Canis lupus familiaris: one gene and its partners. The protein of the gene in region 2 binds, or shares a complex with, the protein of the main gene of each other region. Links are inferred from orthologs where the notes say so. Each region holds a gene or a part of one and is shown on either strand. Other genes may lie near its edges.

Evidence for each region. Proteins that work in one complex are often made in the same cells at the same time.
Region 1: the proteins of THOC2 (region 2) and DDX39B are in contact, whole or in part, in a cryo-EM structure (PDB 7APK), measured with the Homo sapiens proteins. The link is inferred for Canis lupus familiaris from reciprocal best matches to the Homo sapiens genes THOC2 and DDX39B. Residues at the interface, in NP_001075019.1 of Homo sapiens: Lys550, Tyr551, Met553, Lys554, Arg555, Leu556, Thr557, Lys558, Glu559, Tyr582, Gln586, Lys589, Tyr590, Asp591, Asn592, Leu593, Pro596; in NP_004631.1 of Homo sapiens: Leu282, Asp283, Val284, Leu285, Glu286, Phe287, Asn288, Gln310, Asn311, Phe312, Pro313, Asp335, Phe336, Gln337, Arg338, Arg339, Arg355, Ile420, Ile424, Glu425.
Region 3: THOC2 (region 2) and SARNP share a complex: the UniProt entries of both Homo sapiens proteins name them as parts of the transcription/export (TREX) complex. The link is inferred for Canis lupus familiaris from reciprocal best matches to the Homo sapiens genes THOC2 and SARNP.

The regions. Positions count from the first base shown.
Region 1 is NC_049233.1:1,170,811-1,175,729, forward strand, and holds the end of DDX39B (spliceosome RNA helicase DDX39B), read right to left. Parts: intron 4,690-4,919; coding exon 4,571-4,689; intron 2,272-4,570; coding exon 2,140-2,271; intron 1,375-2,139; coding exon 1,265-1,374; intron 1,166-1,264; coding exon 1,021-1,165; intron 884-1,020; coding exon 736-883; intron 411-735; coding exon 394-410; downstream 1-393. UniProt on the Homo sapiens protein: Involved in nuclear export of spliced and unspliced mRNA. Component of the TREX complex which is thought to couple mRNA transcription, processing and nuclear export, and specifically associates with spliced mRNA and not with unspliced pre-mRNA.
Region 2 is NC_049260.1:95,958,391-95,964,085, reverse strand, and holds the start of THOC2 (THO complex subunit 2), read left to right. Parts: upstream 1-2,326; 5' UTR 2,327-2,400; coding exon 2,401-2,471; intron 2,472-5,695. UniProt on the Homo sapiens protein: Component of the THO subcomplex of the TREX complex which is thought to couple mRNA transcription, processing and nuclear export, and which specifically associates with spliced mRNA and not with unspliced pre-mRNA.
Region 3 is NC_049231.1:537,547-542,465, reverse strand, and holds part of SARNP (SAP domain-containing ribonucleoprotein), read left to right. Parts: intron 1-2,077; coding exon 2,078-2,124; intron 2,125-2,347; coding exon 2,348-2,415; intron 2,416-4,919. UniProt on the Homo sapiens protein: Binds both single-stranded and double-stranded DNA with higher affinity for the single-stranded form. Specifically binds to scaffold/matrix attachment region DNA. Also binds single-stranded RNA. Enhances RNA unwinding activity of DDX39A.

The DNA.
Region 1 (4,919 bases), on a different chromosome or scaffold from region 2:
AGCAATGGCTTCTGCAGTCTTAGTCACATCCCCCTCCCCCCCTCTGATCCCTCCCAACTGACCTGAGCCCCACAGCAGGGCACACAGTCCTTATAAGAATGAATATACACTGAATCATGACCTAATCTCACCCCAAACCCAATAAAGGCATGGAGCACTTACAGACACCACAGACGCATGTGTTTTTTAGTTTTGTTAAAAAAAAAAAAAAAATTTCCGACAATTCAGGAAACAGGGATTCAGGAGTGGTGGTGATGCAAAAGGGGGAAGCCATGGGGTGGGGGGTGGGGGTTGTCACGGGTAGGTGGCAGTAGTGTCTCCTTCACCCCATGTCTACTGTCGTCTCCTGAAGAGGGACAGACTGTCACATTCCAAAATGGGTGGGTAAGTCCTCTACCGCGTCTGTTCAACTGGAGAGAAAACATGGCACAATTACAAGACATGGAAAAGGCAAGGCTGGCAGAAAACATGCCCCCACCCCCCACTACATGCAGATGTCTGTAGTTTGTGGGTGCAAAGGATAGACTGGGGGTAGGGAAAAATAAACTAGCTTGTTAAGAAAAGAGACATACAGATCAACTAAACATCCCAGCAGGGGCATCAAGATCCAAAGGACATAATTAAGTGCCTGTTACACACTAGAGGCTCTTTGTGTACATGATGGGATTTAAGACAAACACACTAAGGAACAAGGAGACTGAAGAGTTGAGCCAGTTTCTTAAGATCCATACTCACTGTAAGAGGAAATGTCTATCTCATCTGGCAGCTCACTAATATTGACTTCAAAGCGATCCTGCACATCATTGAGGATCTTGGCATCATTTTCATCTGATACAAATGTGATGGCCAAGCCCTTGGTGCCAAACCGGCCTGCTCGGGCCACCTGGAAGGAGACAGAGGATAGTCCTGGGAGATCCCGAAGTAGGAAGACATCCAAAAAGAAGGGAGAGGCTATCAGGTATGAAGATACAAAATCAGGGGGAGGGGACACTGGAATGCACGTGTGGGTGTGGAGCTTACCCGATGCAGGTAAGTGTCAGAATCCTCAGGCATGTCATAGTTGAAGGCAATGTTCACCCGCTCAATGTCCATGCCTCGGCCAAATAGGTTGGTAGCCACAAGAATTCGTCGTTGAAAATCTTTAAACTGCTGATACCGAGAAAGCCTTCGTGAGAAAGGAAATTAGAAAAATACTGAGTCCCTTCGCTTCAACGGTCTCTTTTCCTTCCCAAGGACACAAAACATCTTTCCATTTCTGACTTACCTCTCCTCCTGGGGCATCCCTCGGTGGATGGCAATGGCTGGGAAGTTCTGCTCTACCAGCAGCTGGGCGAGGGCAATGCAACGCTGCACAGACTTCACAAAGATCACCACCTGGGTGTGTGACAGTTGGGGGACATGGGTCCATGTGGGATAAGTGAGAGATTAAGTGTGAGAAGAGTTTTCAGTAACTACTCTTTTACTCTTCCTGAAACTTCTCCAATCCCCATTACATATTCCTCTTCTGTTCTAAATACAACTTAGCCTTTCTCACTCAGTTCTGATTTTTCCTGAGCAGACATGCTGAAGAGAAGATACAGAGAAAAGTAACTAAAACTACCAGATATGTTAGGGAGACAAGGATGAAGCTAATGGTAAAAATGAAAGTGGTAAAAATTTAAAGTGTGGAAAAAAAAAATTTAAAGTGTGGAGAGTAGTTTCTGCTCATCAAAAACATCAAACATATGCAATTTACCTTAATTTTAGAAAGTTTTTGGTGCAAACGAACCACAGCAGGTAAAGTATGGAACATTTCTTCTCAGTAAACAGTACAAGAAAAAACAAATTTTAAAAACCCAAGAAACCCAAGATATTTTGGAACTTTTACAAGTTTATGAAATCCTCTCAAGGATTTTGAGATTTTTCTTTACTCAATACCTGGCTGTGACAGCCAAAGAACAGAACAGCAGCTCCCATCTTGTTCACACTCAGCACCAAAGGCACTTAAATTCTCATTTAAAAGAATTTCATTTGAAGGTAATTTCCCCACTGTTCTCGCTCACATCACCTATGTCATATCCTCAACAAAAAGGTACTTAACCAGGTTTCTGCTACAGTTGGAGACGTGCTCATCCCCCTACTGGACTTTGAACAACTGACCTGATTGAACTCAAGGACATCGAGAAGGTCAAAGAGCTTCCGGTTCTTCTCGTTGTCCTTCAGTTTCACGTAGTACTGCTGCAACCCATGCAGCGTCAGCTTCGTCTCATCATCCACGAAGATCTCCATTGGCTGGGGGAGGGAGGGGGGAGTAGGGGGGGAACGGGAGGAGGGCAGAGTGGGGGGGTTAAACCTGGGGGGGTGGAGGAACTTGATCTCCAAAACACCCCATTGGGGGATGGGAAAAGAGAAGACTGAAAACCCCACCACACCCCCAAAAATATCCTCATTTTAATGTGGTCTCTTCCACGTTAGCTCTAATTTCCTTCCTAGCAGTTGTTTTAAGATTGCCCAAGTATCACGGGAAGGTAACCTGGCAAGGAGTTTGAAAAGGAGCAGTGAGACCACCCAATGGCAAGATGCCATGACCTCAAAAGGAGGTAGCAGAGGAAAGAAAACAATGGGAGAGGATCCCCAAAGGGAAAATGTAATCCAAACACCTGGGAATTGGTGGACATGGTGACTCGAGGTCAGGAATTCCACCACTATTGGTTGTAAAAATAGAGGGGAAGACAGGGATTGCTTCATTTGAGTATTCTCCCAACTAAGAGAATCAGGGGGCACCTGGGTGGCTCAATCGGTTAGGCGTCTGCCTTCGGCTCAGGTCATAATCTCAGGGTCCTAGGATCAAGCTCCGAGTCAGGCTCCCTCCTCAGTGGGGATCTGCTTCTCCCTCTCCCTCTGCTCCTCCACCTGCTTGTGCTTGCTCTCTCTCAAATCAATACATAAAATATTAAGGAAAAAACCAAACAACTAAGAGAATCAGATCCACATCAGGAGGGTGGATTATCTGTCAAGATCAGAATGCTAAAATGAACATAGTCAAAAATACCATGAAAAGTTACTCAGGATGAGTAATAACTCGCCCTCAGACCACAAGGGAATAGTTCAGATGGCACTGGTCTCTGAACTAGGAGTCAAATCAACTAGTGTTACATGGACAGTACCAATAAATGGTGTTAAGAAACAAATTCAGAGCAGCAGATATACAACCATCTTGTAATATATATATGTATATATATATATATATACACACACATATATATGTATATATGTATATACACACACATACACACACGCACGCACACATAAAACCCTTTAAGGGGAGGAAGATAGCAAAAAAAAAACAAACTGACACAAGACTCAACTCCTGAGTCCAAGTTTCCTAGCACTCTTCACTAACCTGGGGACATAATTAACATGAACACCCAGGGCCCAAGGTTTCAGGAAAGGATGAGTGGCACGGGAGAGAACCAGAAGCCCAATCCCAGAAAGCAGGCTTGCAAAAGCAGGCTTTTCAAAATGAAGCTTCATGGCCTCCTTCAAATCTAGCCCCAAGTATAACTAAAGGTAACTGACATCCCACGGGAAGGAGCAGTACAGGATAAGAAAGAATACACTGCACTGTTTATACAATAGGGCCCGTCTAGTGCCAAACCCTAACACCCACCTGGTTACATCCAAGTGGAGCTCCTCACATTACTTTTCCCATATCCCTCTCCTTGGAGTATTAAAAAATTGTTTTAAAAAAGAAAAAAAACTACCCCCCGTTTCAGGACACCCCTCCCCCCAACACATATGGGGAAAAACAGGGAGCACGGCACGCCTTGGATTCAGGAAAAAAACCGGGAACAGAAAAAGAGGCTGGTTTGGTCCTCAGCTTCCTGGTCAGGTTTCCCCGCGGCCTCCGCTGCCGCCATCCACCGCTGGGTGCCGTCTGCATTTCCCCCGCCGTTCCATGGTGCTTCTCCGCTGCCGGCTCACATCAGCCGAGATTCCGGATGGGTGCGAGGAGGTATGGACGGAAGGAGTAAGGGATCGGGGACTGAGGTGCCAAAGGCCCCCACCCCTGGAGGTGGGGAGGGAGCGGATTCATTTGTGCTGTTTGCTCTTCTTTTGGACATGCCCTGCCATCTGTCTGTCCCTCTCTTGCTCTCCTGCCACCGGGGGGTTGAGTTTTGGGGAGCAGAAGGCTCCAACTGTCTGCTCCATGCCACCTTGAGGGTGCGTGGCTGTAAAGGGGTATGTAGGAGACGATGGGTGGGTAGTAGGGCAGAAAATCCTGCCCTCCCCCAAAAAGGAAGAAGAGGTTCAAAAATGCTGTGATGAAAAAAAAAAAAAAAAAAAGGTCGAACACTACCCGCTCTCAAGTTAACCCGACCAAGTCTTCCGGAGTTTCCCTGGCACCCGCGCAGACCCTAACACTAGCTGTCTCTGCCTCTGTGTGTCTCTTCAAGGAGTCATCACTCCCAGATGGGCACGTGCCCCCTTCTTGGCATTTGAAGGACAAGGGAGTCTGGAGGAAGAGGGCGCAGAAGGGGAGGAGGCAGTGGGCGGGGAGTGGAGGGAGAGAAGGTAGAAGGGTATTTACGTCTTGCATGAACTTGCGGCAGACAGGACGGATCTCTTTGCTCAAGGTAGCACTGAACATCATGACCTGCTTCTCATGGGGGGTCATGCGAAAAATTTCCTGGACATCCCGACGCATGTCTACAAGAAAAAGGAAAAAAATCCTAGAAGGAAAGAAGGAAATGTCATAGACAAAGACCGGAGACAGCCTCCCCAGTGAGGTGAAACTGCTGGAAACAGGTAAGCAAGAGCCATTTCCCACAAAGATTTGTCTCAGGTACTCTATTTACACGAACCACCGTAAAATCACATCCATTGCAGTAACACATGGAAAATTTCAAATAAAGACCTAGAACCAAATTTCAGCACTA
Region 2 (5,695 bases):
AAGGGAAAATCAAGGCTTCAAAGGACATCACTGCAGTCAGGTCATACCACAGTTGTGGCATACTGAGTAGTATGCATACTGCACATAGTTCAGTGTTTGGAAGGAGAAATCACTGTGATAAAGTGGCAAGGTAAACCACAATACAGCAGAATATTGCCATTGGCTCTCAACAGGGTTATTTGCACTGAAAGAGACATTTTACAATGTCTAGAAAGCCTTTTGTAACAACTGGTGTGTGTTGGGGGGTTATGAACTGCACACCATCCTCCCTGTCCTCTGTAAAGATCTATTTGGACTCAAATGTAAATAATGCCCACTGCTATAGGTTATCCATAAGCAGCAGGAGAGCGTTTCTTGTATCACAAAAGCCATTCTGTAATAAAGATTTCAGATGTTTTTAAGGGAGGATGATGGTGCAATGAGGATTTACTGTGCCTTTCTGTTCATTTTTGAAGAATCCATAATAATGAAAAATGAAAAAAATCAGCGAGCATATCTTTGAACCTCCTTGAAATGGCATAGGGTCTTTACGAACAGATTTCACTGAAACTAAACGGTGTGTATTTTCTAATTAGTGGCTTTAGGACTTCAAAATCAGACAGGACGTTAGGAGACTAGAAATAGCTGATGAAAAACAATCATGAACAATGTAGTATTTTCCCAGAACTTATTCTGAATACAGCCTATCCCTCCAACATCTTTTCAATGCAAATGAACCTGATCCATTTGGTGAAAACTGCCAAATTTAGAAGGTACTAGTTCTAAAGTTCATACTTTAATATATGTGTGATAAGGTTTCCTTCTTTGGTTTGCCTATGCTTTCTAAAATTTCTGCCAAACCCGTATTTTAAAAAACCTAAAAAAAATATTTTATTTATTTATTCATGAGAGACACAGAGAGAGAGAGAGGCAGAGACACAGGCAGAGGGAGAAGCAGGTTCCATGCAAGGAGCCCGATGTGGGACTCGATCCTGGGCCTCCAGGATCACACCCCAGGCTGCAGGCAGCGCTAAACTGCTGCGCCACTGGGGCTGCCCTAAAAAACTTTTTTATTTTGAAAAGTTGCACAAATAGAACAGAAAGTCCCTGCATGTCCTTCACTTAGACTCCTAGCATGTTAATATTTTACATTTTCTTAATCATCCTAGGGTTTTCTTCTGAGACATTTTAGAGTAAGTTGCAACATAATGTCCTATTACCTCTCAGTACTCCAGCGAGTATTTTCTTAAACAAGGACTTTCACATTAACCATAGTACAAGTATAAAAAAAACAAGAAATTTACATTGGTAGAATATCGTTAGTCTACAGATATTCAAATTTTGTCAATTGTCCCAATAATGCCCTTAGCAAAGGAAAAATGATCTTTTTCTGGCTGGGGATCCGTTGTCCTGTCTGTTGTTTCTACTCATCCGGAGGAGTTCCTCAATATGTCTAGATTGTCTTTAGTGACTTTGATGATTTTGAAGAGTGCAAGCCAGTAATTTTGTAGACTGTCCCTCTATGGGTTTGTTTGATGTTCCCTCACGATTGAATTCAGGTTCTGCGAATTTCCGTGTCATGAATGCTACAAAATTGGTTAGTGCTTTTCTTACCACCTTATCAGGAGGCAAATGATGCCCATTCCCGGGTGTGCTGAGTTTTCATCATAATTGGGACGGTGTCCGCCATATTTTCCCACCATAGTTCCTATTTCGCCTTGGAAATAGTATTTTGTCGGGAGATACTTCGAGACTCTGTAATGTAAACAAGTTGTTTCTTATGGTAATTGCGCCCCCTAGTTTTGTCTAAGGTTACGGAGACAGAGGCTGATTACAGTAGGGTGTCAGCGCTGATGGCGGCAAGTGTTTCCAGGGGTCAGTTTCTGCTTGTATCCCTTGTATTAGCATGTCTAGCACATAGTAAATGGCTGCTTATTTTCTGATGAATTTCTTTGATCTCAGCAGTTAGTAGCGTGTATTGTAAATTGATCTTATGTTAGTTTTTCCCACAGACTGTGAGCTCCTTGAGGGTAGGCACAATGACTTAGTGCTTCTCTGTCCCCAGTGTCTAGCACACACTAGGTGCTTGAAAAATACATGTTTGAATTAGTGGCCTGGAGTAGATACTACCGAAGAGGACAAGGGCTATGTGTCGGTCTGGGGAAGGCATTCTTCCTGTTCTAAAGGGAAGCCAGAGCAAGGGTTGTAGAGGGCGCGGTCGGCGTAGTCACGGCCAAGGACCCACGGGTCTCAGCCACCTGGTTGGAGGCCAGGCCTCGGGTTTCCGCGGGTGGGGAAGAAAGTGGGGCGGGAAACCGAAAACCGAACTCGCAGCTCCCGGCATTCCCCGTGGGCGGTGCTCCCCTTTGACCCCTCGCTCGCGTGCTACACATCCGGGCCTCTGCTACTAGTGAGGGGAAGATGGCGGCCGCAACTGTGGTGGTTCCCGTAGAGTGGATAAAGAACTGGGAGAAATCAGGGAGAGGCGAATTGTGAGTGTCCGGGCTGGAGGCGGGCGCACGGCCGGGCCGGGCCCGGGCGTCAGCCGTGCTCTCCCTTGTGGGGAGAGGTTGTGGGGGGAAGATGTGCCCCCTCCCCCATCCGGGCGGCGGGTGTGGAGGGTTGGCTAGGAGTTTCGAACTCGGGGAGGAGAGGTGCTGGTAACCGCCGCCGACCTCCTTCCTTCTCTGGCCTCTCCAAAATCCTCGTTGCCCGCCGTAGGCTGTCTTCCTTTAGTGTCTTAGCAGAACTCCCGTTTCGCCCCTGCGGGTCTACGCGCTCCCGCTCCGTCTTTTTGTCCCCCTCTTCGCTTGAGCTCACTTGGCTCCTTTCTCTTTACGGGGCCGCGCCGGGAGGGGGGGTTCGGACTTTACATCTTTGTGTCCCATTTCTTCACTCTGCACCCGTTCGACTCTGCAGTTTGGAGCCCGACGCCTCCTTTGCCCGAAGTCCGAGGAGGGCGAACCGTCCCGACTCCCTCCCCTCCTCTCCGCCCGCTGCCGCGATGCCCGGGGCGTCGCGAAGAGCCCCGGTTGGCACGTCTCGTCCTCCCGGGGAGCGGTCTTTCGGATTGTCCCGGCCTCGCGCGGCGCCGCTGGCCGTGGGAGAAGTGTAGCTGGGATTGCCGCTTTCCCACGAAGACCTACCGGCATTTCTTTGCTCCGGCTTTTCACTTTAGAGCCATTTCGGTTTTGATTCAACTTTCGTCATTAAATGTTTCTTAAACCCCATTTTGTCCTGGGACTGCAACTAATTTTGGCGACTCTCAGGGTTCTCAAGTACCTGGAATAACGCGTTCCCTTTAGTCATAAAACTTGTTTTTTTCCCCTGGTAATACAGAAAACAGTAATTTGCCATACCCGCGGTTTCCTCGCCCCAAATTTCAGTTCGCGCTCCCTCGGAAAGAAAGGAATCGTTTAAGCAGTAAAACCCCAGATTCAAAAACAAAGAATTTATTTCTAATTTCGTTCTCTGAATCGCTTTATTAACCAAAGCTCAACGCTGTATGAGCTAACTCTCGTTAGCCATTTTTGCGGTCGGCCGCCCCCTCCCCCCATAGTTTACGGTTGCTCGCGCGAAAGATAACGAATCTTTGGAACTTCGTTACTTCGAACGAAACCCGGGGAATGCGTTGCCCGATCTTGCGCGTGTGATATTGCCAGCTTGTATGGACTCCTCCTTCTCCCCTCCCGCGCCCTCCCTCCCCCCGGCTCCACGCGCACTCGCACTCGCGCTGCTTTACCAAGTCTTAACTGTGTGAGCTCTAGAATTGTATTTCCTGGATAAGCGGCGGTCTTAGCCACTTAACTAGCTGAGTGACCTTGGGTAAGTTCCTTAACCACTTTGACCGTTTCCCCTTGAGTAAATTGGGATTAATAAGTACTCTATTCAAAGGATTGTTGTGAAGACTAAATAATACCTGTAAAGCACTTGGCTTATAGTAAGTGCTCAAGTGATAGCTATTAAAAGTAATATTATTATTCCAATCTTTAGATATTTAAACTTCTCTGGACAGCTCTTGCTCTTAAAGTCTGTACCACTCAGGTTAGCAATTAATTGGTCTTTGACTTACTGCTGCATACTCTTGTACTCTAACGAATTGAGAGACCCTTGAAGAGTGGGGACTATGTTTCATATTTAGTTTGGTCGCCCCTCCCACGCCGTCCCCCCACTGCAGGCCCCAGCTCCCGCCTCACTCCCCCTCGCCTTTCTAGCATATGCTTGGAGTGAGAGCTTTTTGGTTTATTAAATGAGATGTCTATTTGATAAACATTCATTTTTAACTGTTAGGAACATTTTCCAGATCCTTGTACATGCCATTTAACAAATTAAGCTATTAAGTTCCTTGTGTGCAGGGAAGGCAGAACGGGAGGTTACCTAAACCATCGTTTTCATCTATATTAGATTAGGATAACCTCCCCAAACTGATAAATCAGTTCACTATTTTGTTTACTTATTTAGGGCCTGTCATCTTCATAGATTGCTCAGCTTCCTTGTTACATCTGTTTTTGACAGTTTTATTATTGCTTTTACCTTAGAATGAGTGGTATTAGGGCTAGGAGGTGAAAATCTGAATTCTGATTGGCTTCTTGGCAGTGGTTGGAGAAAAATAGTGATGTAGGAGGTTGAAATACGTTGTCAAAATGAGATTTTGGATACACTGTGTGTATATTTGCATAATCCATGCTATGTGTATTGTTCCTGAAGAGCTTTTTCAAAACTGTTAGGGCTTATTTGTATGTAGTTACTCCATGACGTGAGGAATGTTGTTTGAATTATAGTAGATCCAAATCAGTGTAGTTTTATAATTGTATTCTGTTATATGAAGAGAGCATAAGGTGGTCAGTTGTATGACATAATCGGATATTTTAAATAGACAAACACATCATCATCCAGTACTTAGGCTTCATTTATTTGACTCCTTTCCCCTCTTTGAAAACTTGGTTGCATGTAGTCTAACTTCAGAGTTCTTGTATCTAGCATTTCATTTTATTAGAATGAATGGGGTTGTAAATATATTACCCAAAATCTTTTCCTTTGTCTGAAAACAGAGCTTCTTAAATATAAACTAGCAACTAGAAATGTTAAAAAATGAAGTTAATGTGCCAACAGATAATTAGCAAATCCATTTATAGATTTGGCTTTTAGAATAGGACCAATATTGTAAAATACACAAGAAAGGTGAACATTCCAAAGAATTAGAGTACAGAGAACTCTCAATGGTTTCACTTGCAGACATATTCCCTGAATATTAATTTAAAACAAATCAAGGCACCTGGGTGGCTCAGTGGTTGAGTGTTTGCCTTTGGCTGGGGTTGTGACGCTGGGGTCCTGAGATCGAGTCCTGCATGGGGCTCCTTCAGCCTATTGCTCTGCCTCTCTCTCTGTCTCATGAATAAATAAATTAAAATCTTAAAAAAAAATAAATGCAAACATTTGAATTCTGCCACATATGAAGGATACGGATTTAATCACTTTAATTTTGGAAATAGAGTTTTAGTTTCTTGACAACTTCATTCTAGCATAGGACTTGCTATGATTATACTAATAAACTTGCATGTACTGGTAGATACAGTGGTGAAGTTTGTTTTTAGTAAAATTGTTAACACGGGGAACTCAGCATTTCTTTGTGTCACAAGCAACCTTAATGGATTTATGTTCCACGGTGTTAATCTGAAGATGTTAGCCTCATGTCCATACCTGGTCTAATTTTGAG
Region 3 (4,919 bases), on a different chromosome or scaffold from region 2:
GCCCTGGGCCAAAGGCAGGCACCAAACCGCTGCGCCACCCAGGGATCCCCTGATATAAGCTCTTAATTAACTGTATCAAAACTCTTGATCATCCAAAACAGTGGTTATAATGCAAAGAAATATACTCCTCCCCTTTTTTTTAAGACACTAATTTTATTTCAGTAAATTGTTTAAAAGGAAGTATGCTAAAACAGGTATCATTAGATTGAAAATTGGGAGATTTGAATTCTGCTACCTCTTATGCCAGAAAGTTACTCATAACTTTGAATAGTCACTGTTTAAGTGACTAGGTGTCTGTTCTGATCTATGCAATGAGACAAACGTTTCCATACTTGAAATTGGTAAATCTAAGGAATCTCTGGTTCCTTCTAACTCTGACATTCTATAATTCCACTTTTTAAAAAATAAACAAAACCAGCTTTATTTAAGGCATATTATCATTCCAGGTTGTACAAGTTCCTGCTAATTTTTATTTATTCCCTTTTATTGCTTTTACCCCAACTCCTGTAAGCAGCTATTCTAATGTGCTTGATATGTATTTTTTGTCTTTGTCCTTGTAAACCATGTAGTGTTGTTTGGAATACAATGTTTTTATGTAATTGGTAGTGAGGCCATAGCCTTACTTTAGTTCTCACTTTTTTTCTCTAAGTACTGTGTTTTTTTTTTTTGTTTTTTTGTTTTTTTGTTTGTTTTTTAAGATACATTCATATCTGTGTGGCTATGGCTGTGTAGTCACCTAGTCTACTGATTCAAATTCCTGGATAGTGTTCTATCATGTATGGAATCCACTACGTTTTACTTAATTCACCTAGTAACAAACACCTATATTGCCTCCTAGACTACTACTTTCATATTCTTTTATATTTCTTGGTGAGTGTCTTTCTAGGGTATACACCCAGGAGTGGGATTACCAGTTAATATCTATTCATAAGGTATTCCTGATATGATTAAGCACTGCCAAATTATTTTCCAAAATTGCTCTGTAAATCTACAGTGCCATCATCAGTGCATGAGGGTTCTTGTATCTCCTCCACACACCTAAACTTGGCACTATCCTGTTAAGTGGCTTCATTTTCATTAAACTGTTGGTTCAATTTACATTCCTCTAGTTATTAAAAAGTTTGAACATTTCTTGTGTTCATGGTTTGTAGGGTTTTTCCTTTGCCGTTTTTCTTTTGGGGTTCCCATAATTCACTTGTTAGTTTGCAGACATTTCTTTTATATTCTGGTAGCTGTTCCCTGTTGGTCTTAAACACAAATACTCTCTTTGTCATTTGTTTCTTTTCCCATGGTGTCTTAGTTTTGGAAAATCTGCAATTTTTCATATATAACTTTTATTTTTTTATTTTTGGTTTTTTTTTTTTTTAAATTTTTATTTATTTATGATAGTCACAGAGAGAGAGAGAGAGAGGCAGAGACATAGGCAGAGGGAGAAGCAGGCTCCATGCACCGGGAGCCCGACGGGGATTCGATCCCGGGTCTCCAAGATCGCGCCCTGGGCCAAAGGCAGGCGCTAAACCGCTGCGCCATCCAGGGATCCCCATATATAACTTTTACTTCAGTGTTTGGTTTTGTTGTTTTGTTTTGTTAAGATTTATTTATTTATTTATTCACGAGAGACAGAGACATAGGCAGAGGGAGAAGCAGGCTCCATGCAGGGAGCCTGACATGGGACTTGATCCTGGTTCTCCAGGATCATGCCCTGGGCTGAAGGTGGCACTAAACTGCTGGGCCACTGGGGCTACCCTGCAGTGTTTTTTGTTTTTTTGTTTTTTTTTTTTTAGAAATCCCTCCTCACCACTAAATATTAAAGATATTCTCTGTAACATTAATGTTATAGTTTGACCTTATTATGGTTTTTCAGTGCAGCTGGAGTTCAACTTTGTATTAATGTTAGGTAGAGAATAATACGGCTTTATCTTTTCCATGTGGAGCAGATTTTATGAGCATCAGATCTGCCTTCAACTATTGAATTTTATTTTGGGAAAGCAAAATGATTATAATTTTAGCCTAAGTACAGTGATCAAGATGGTTTTTTTTTAGCAGGGCTTGACCTGAATATTTTAATATTCTTTAGCTGAAGAGGAGGCAAATGAAGAAGATGTTCTGGGAGATGAAACAGAGGTGAGTTGGAGAGAGTAAGGTTAGTCACTGGCCTGGCAACATGTTGATACCTTGGCCACATTGCTTACCATCAATCATTAGAGGGCTTAAATGCTAACTTGTTAGGGGAGCATAGAGGGGGGAATGAAGGTTCTGAAAAACTGGTTCATTTTTGAGTTCTAATACTCTTATTGTTGGGTACTTACTGTTGGTTTATATTAACCATTATTTCATTTGGTTTTAGGAAGAAGAACCAAAGCCCATAGAACTACCTGTCAAAGAGGAAGAACCTCCTGAGAAAACTGTTGATGTGTAACTATCCCTTTTTTATGATCTGAGTAAGGGCAGATAGTTCTGGGTTTTGGAGGGGTTTAGTCTTTCACTCTCTTTACTTCTTAAACCTTTCCATTGGCTTTTTCATTTTTTATTAGATCATACATTTTCAGAACATGGTCCCAGTGAAGCAAAGTGGTTTGTCTCTGGGTTATGTAATAGATAACTAGGACCAGGAAACTTCAATCTCAGACAGAGTTTAGTTCTAGCCTTTGTTGTAGGACCATAATGGATGATTCTTTTTCTGTATAAACATCTAGATTTTCCTGTGAATAAGGAATTTTGTAAGGGAGGATGGTTCTGAGCAGAGATAATGTCTTTTAGGTAACACTTTATTCTCTCTCCCTTTTTGATTTACAGTGGAAGAAGGGAAGACAAAGTACTAGAGTAGAAAGTGGACCTTATTTAAACTATCCCACAGGGCAGCCCGAGTGGCTCAGCAGTTTGGCACCGCCTTCGGCCCAGGGCCTGATCCTGGAGACCTGGGATCAAGTTCCGCGTCGGGCTCCCTGCATGGAGCCTGCTTCTCCCTCTGCCTCTCTCTCTCTCTCTCTGTGTCTCTCATGAATAAATAAAATCTTAAAAAAAAAAAAAAAAACTATCCCACAGGTTGATCATAAACCTCTTTTTTGAGGGCTGTCAAATCCAGTAATTAATAACCGTTGAATCCTTTTTAACATTTTTGTTCCTCATAGCTGTATTTATGCATTTAATTATAAAAAATGATATATGTGCTTGTGATAAGTCAAATACTATGTAGATAAGTATATAAACCGAAAATTATGTACCTCTTCTCTCTACTCCCATCTGACTTTCCAGAGGTTTTCAATATATTTCTTTAGAATGTTATATGGAGAGTTTGTGTATGTATGCATGTACAGATACATACATACATACACTAGGCATATTGTGGGTTTCTTGATTATTCTCATGTGTTTTTATAGTCATTATATAATAATTGTTTTTTTTTTTTAATTTTATTTATTTATTCATGAGAGACACAGAGAGAGGCAGAGACACAGGCAGAGGGAGAAGCAGGCTCCACTCAGGAAGCCCAACATGGGACTTGATCCCGGGTCCCCAGGAGCACACCCCGGGCTGCAGGCGGCACTAAACCGCTGCTCCACTGGGGCTACCTTATAATAATGTTTTTATTAAAATGTTATATACAAGGCAGGATTATTTTTTTTAAGATTTTATTTATTCATCAGAGACAGAGAGAGAGAGAGGCAGAGACACAGGCAGAGGGAGAAGCAGGCTCCACGAAGGGAGCCTGATGTGGGACTTGATCCGGGGACTCCAGGATCACACCCTGGGTGGAAGGCAGGTGCTCAACCGCTGAGCCATCCAGGGATCCCCACAAGGCAGGATTCTAAGTGCTTTGCATGTATTCCCATTTAGTCCTCACATCAACCGTATGAAATGGTGTAATTATCTTTCTAAGTGGTAGGTCTCTTTTTTTAGCTTGCTATTGTGGGAAATGGCAAGTATATATACAAGTTATGAGAACAGTATAATAGACCTGTATGTACTGCTCACCCAGATTTAGTAGTTATCAACATAGAACCTTATTCTTCTAGCAGCTAATAGTACTCCATTCTATTGATGAACAGTAATTTCAAACCAGTCTCCTGTTGATGGACATTTAGGTAATTCATAATAGCAAAAAATGCAGTGCTGCGTGTCTTTAAGCAGCTATATTTATACTTATGCAAGTGTGTCCATGCGATAAATTCCCTGCAGTGGATTTGCTGCATCACAGGGGATATACATTTAATGTTTCATTAGATTTTATCTAATAATACTGCTTTTGGTGGGAGGAAAGGGGCAGAAGGAAAGAGAGAATCTTAAGCAGGCTCCATGCCCAGCACAGAGCCTGATGTGGGGGTTGATTTCACAGCTCTGAGATGATGACCTGAGCTGAAATCCAAATCAAGATTTAGATGCTTAACTGACCAAGCTACCCAGGCACCCCTAATAATATTGCTTTTTAAAGCCATCTAGTTATCTTCCATCATAGGAGGTTTACGTTTAGATATAATGCCTTAAGGAAATGGCTTATAGAATACATTTAAAGTAGCAATGTTTTGGGGAACATCTGGAGGAAGAAGGAAGATAAGGTGAATACAATGATAATTGGTTTTTGTAGGTTAACAATGAAGTTTGAAAATTCGTAGAAGTTCATTATTCTTAGAATATGTGAGATGTGTAATTCTCTTATTCAGAGCATTTGATTTTATTAATGAATTTCTAAACAAGGAAATTGAAAGTGTGTATTAGCAGGGGTGATTTTGCTCTTTAGAGTGATGGTAGTGGTTAGACTGCAGTATGTTCAGAAAAGTTCTGGGTCCCTGTAGTTTGGAGAATGTCTTGTGACTGGTTAGGATAGAAATTTCTCCGTAAAGAGAATACGTTTCCCATGAGTTCCAGAATGTGATGTGTATTTAATTGCTTGAGCTTAATTGTACCTAAAGTATCTGAAA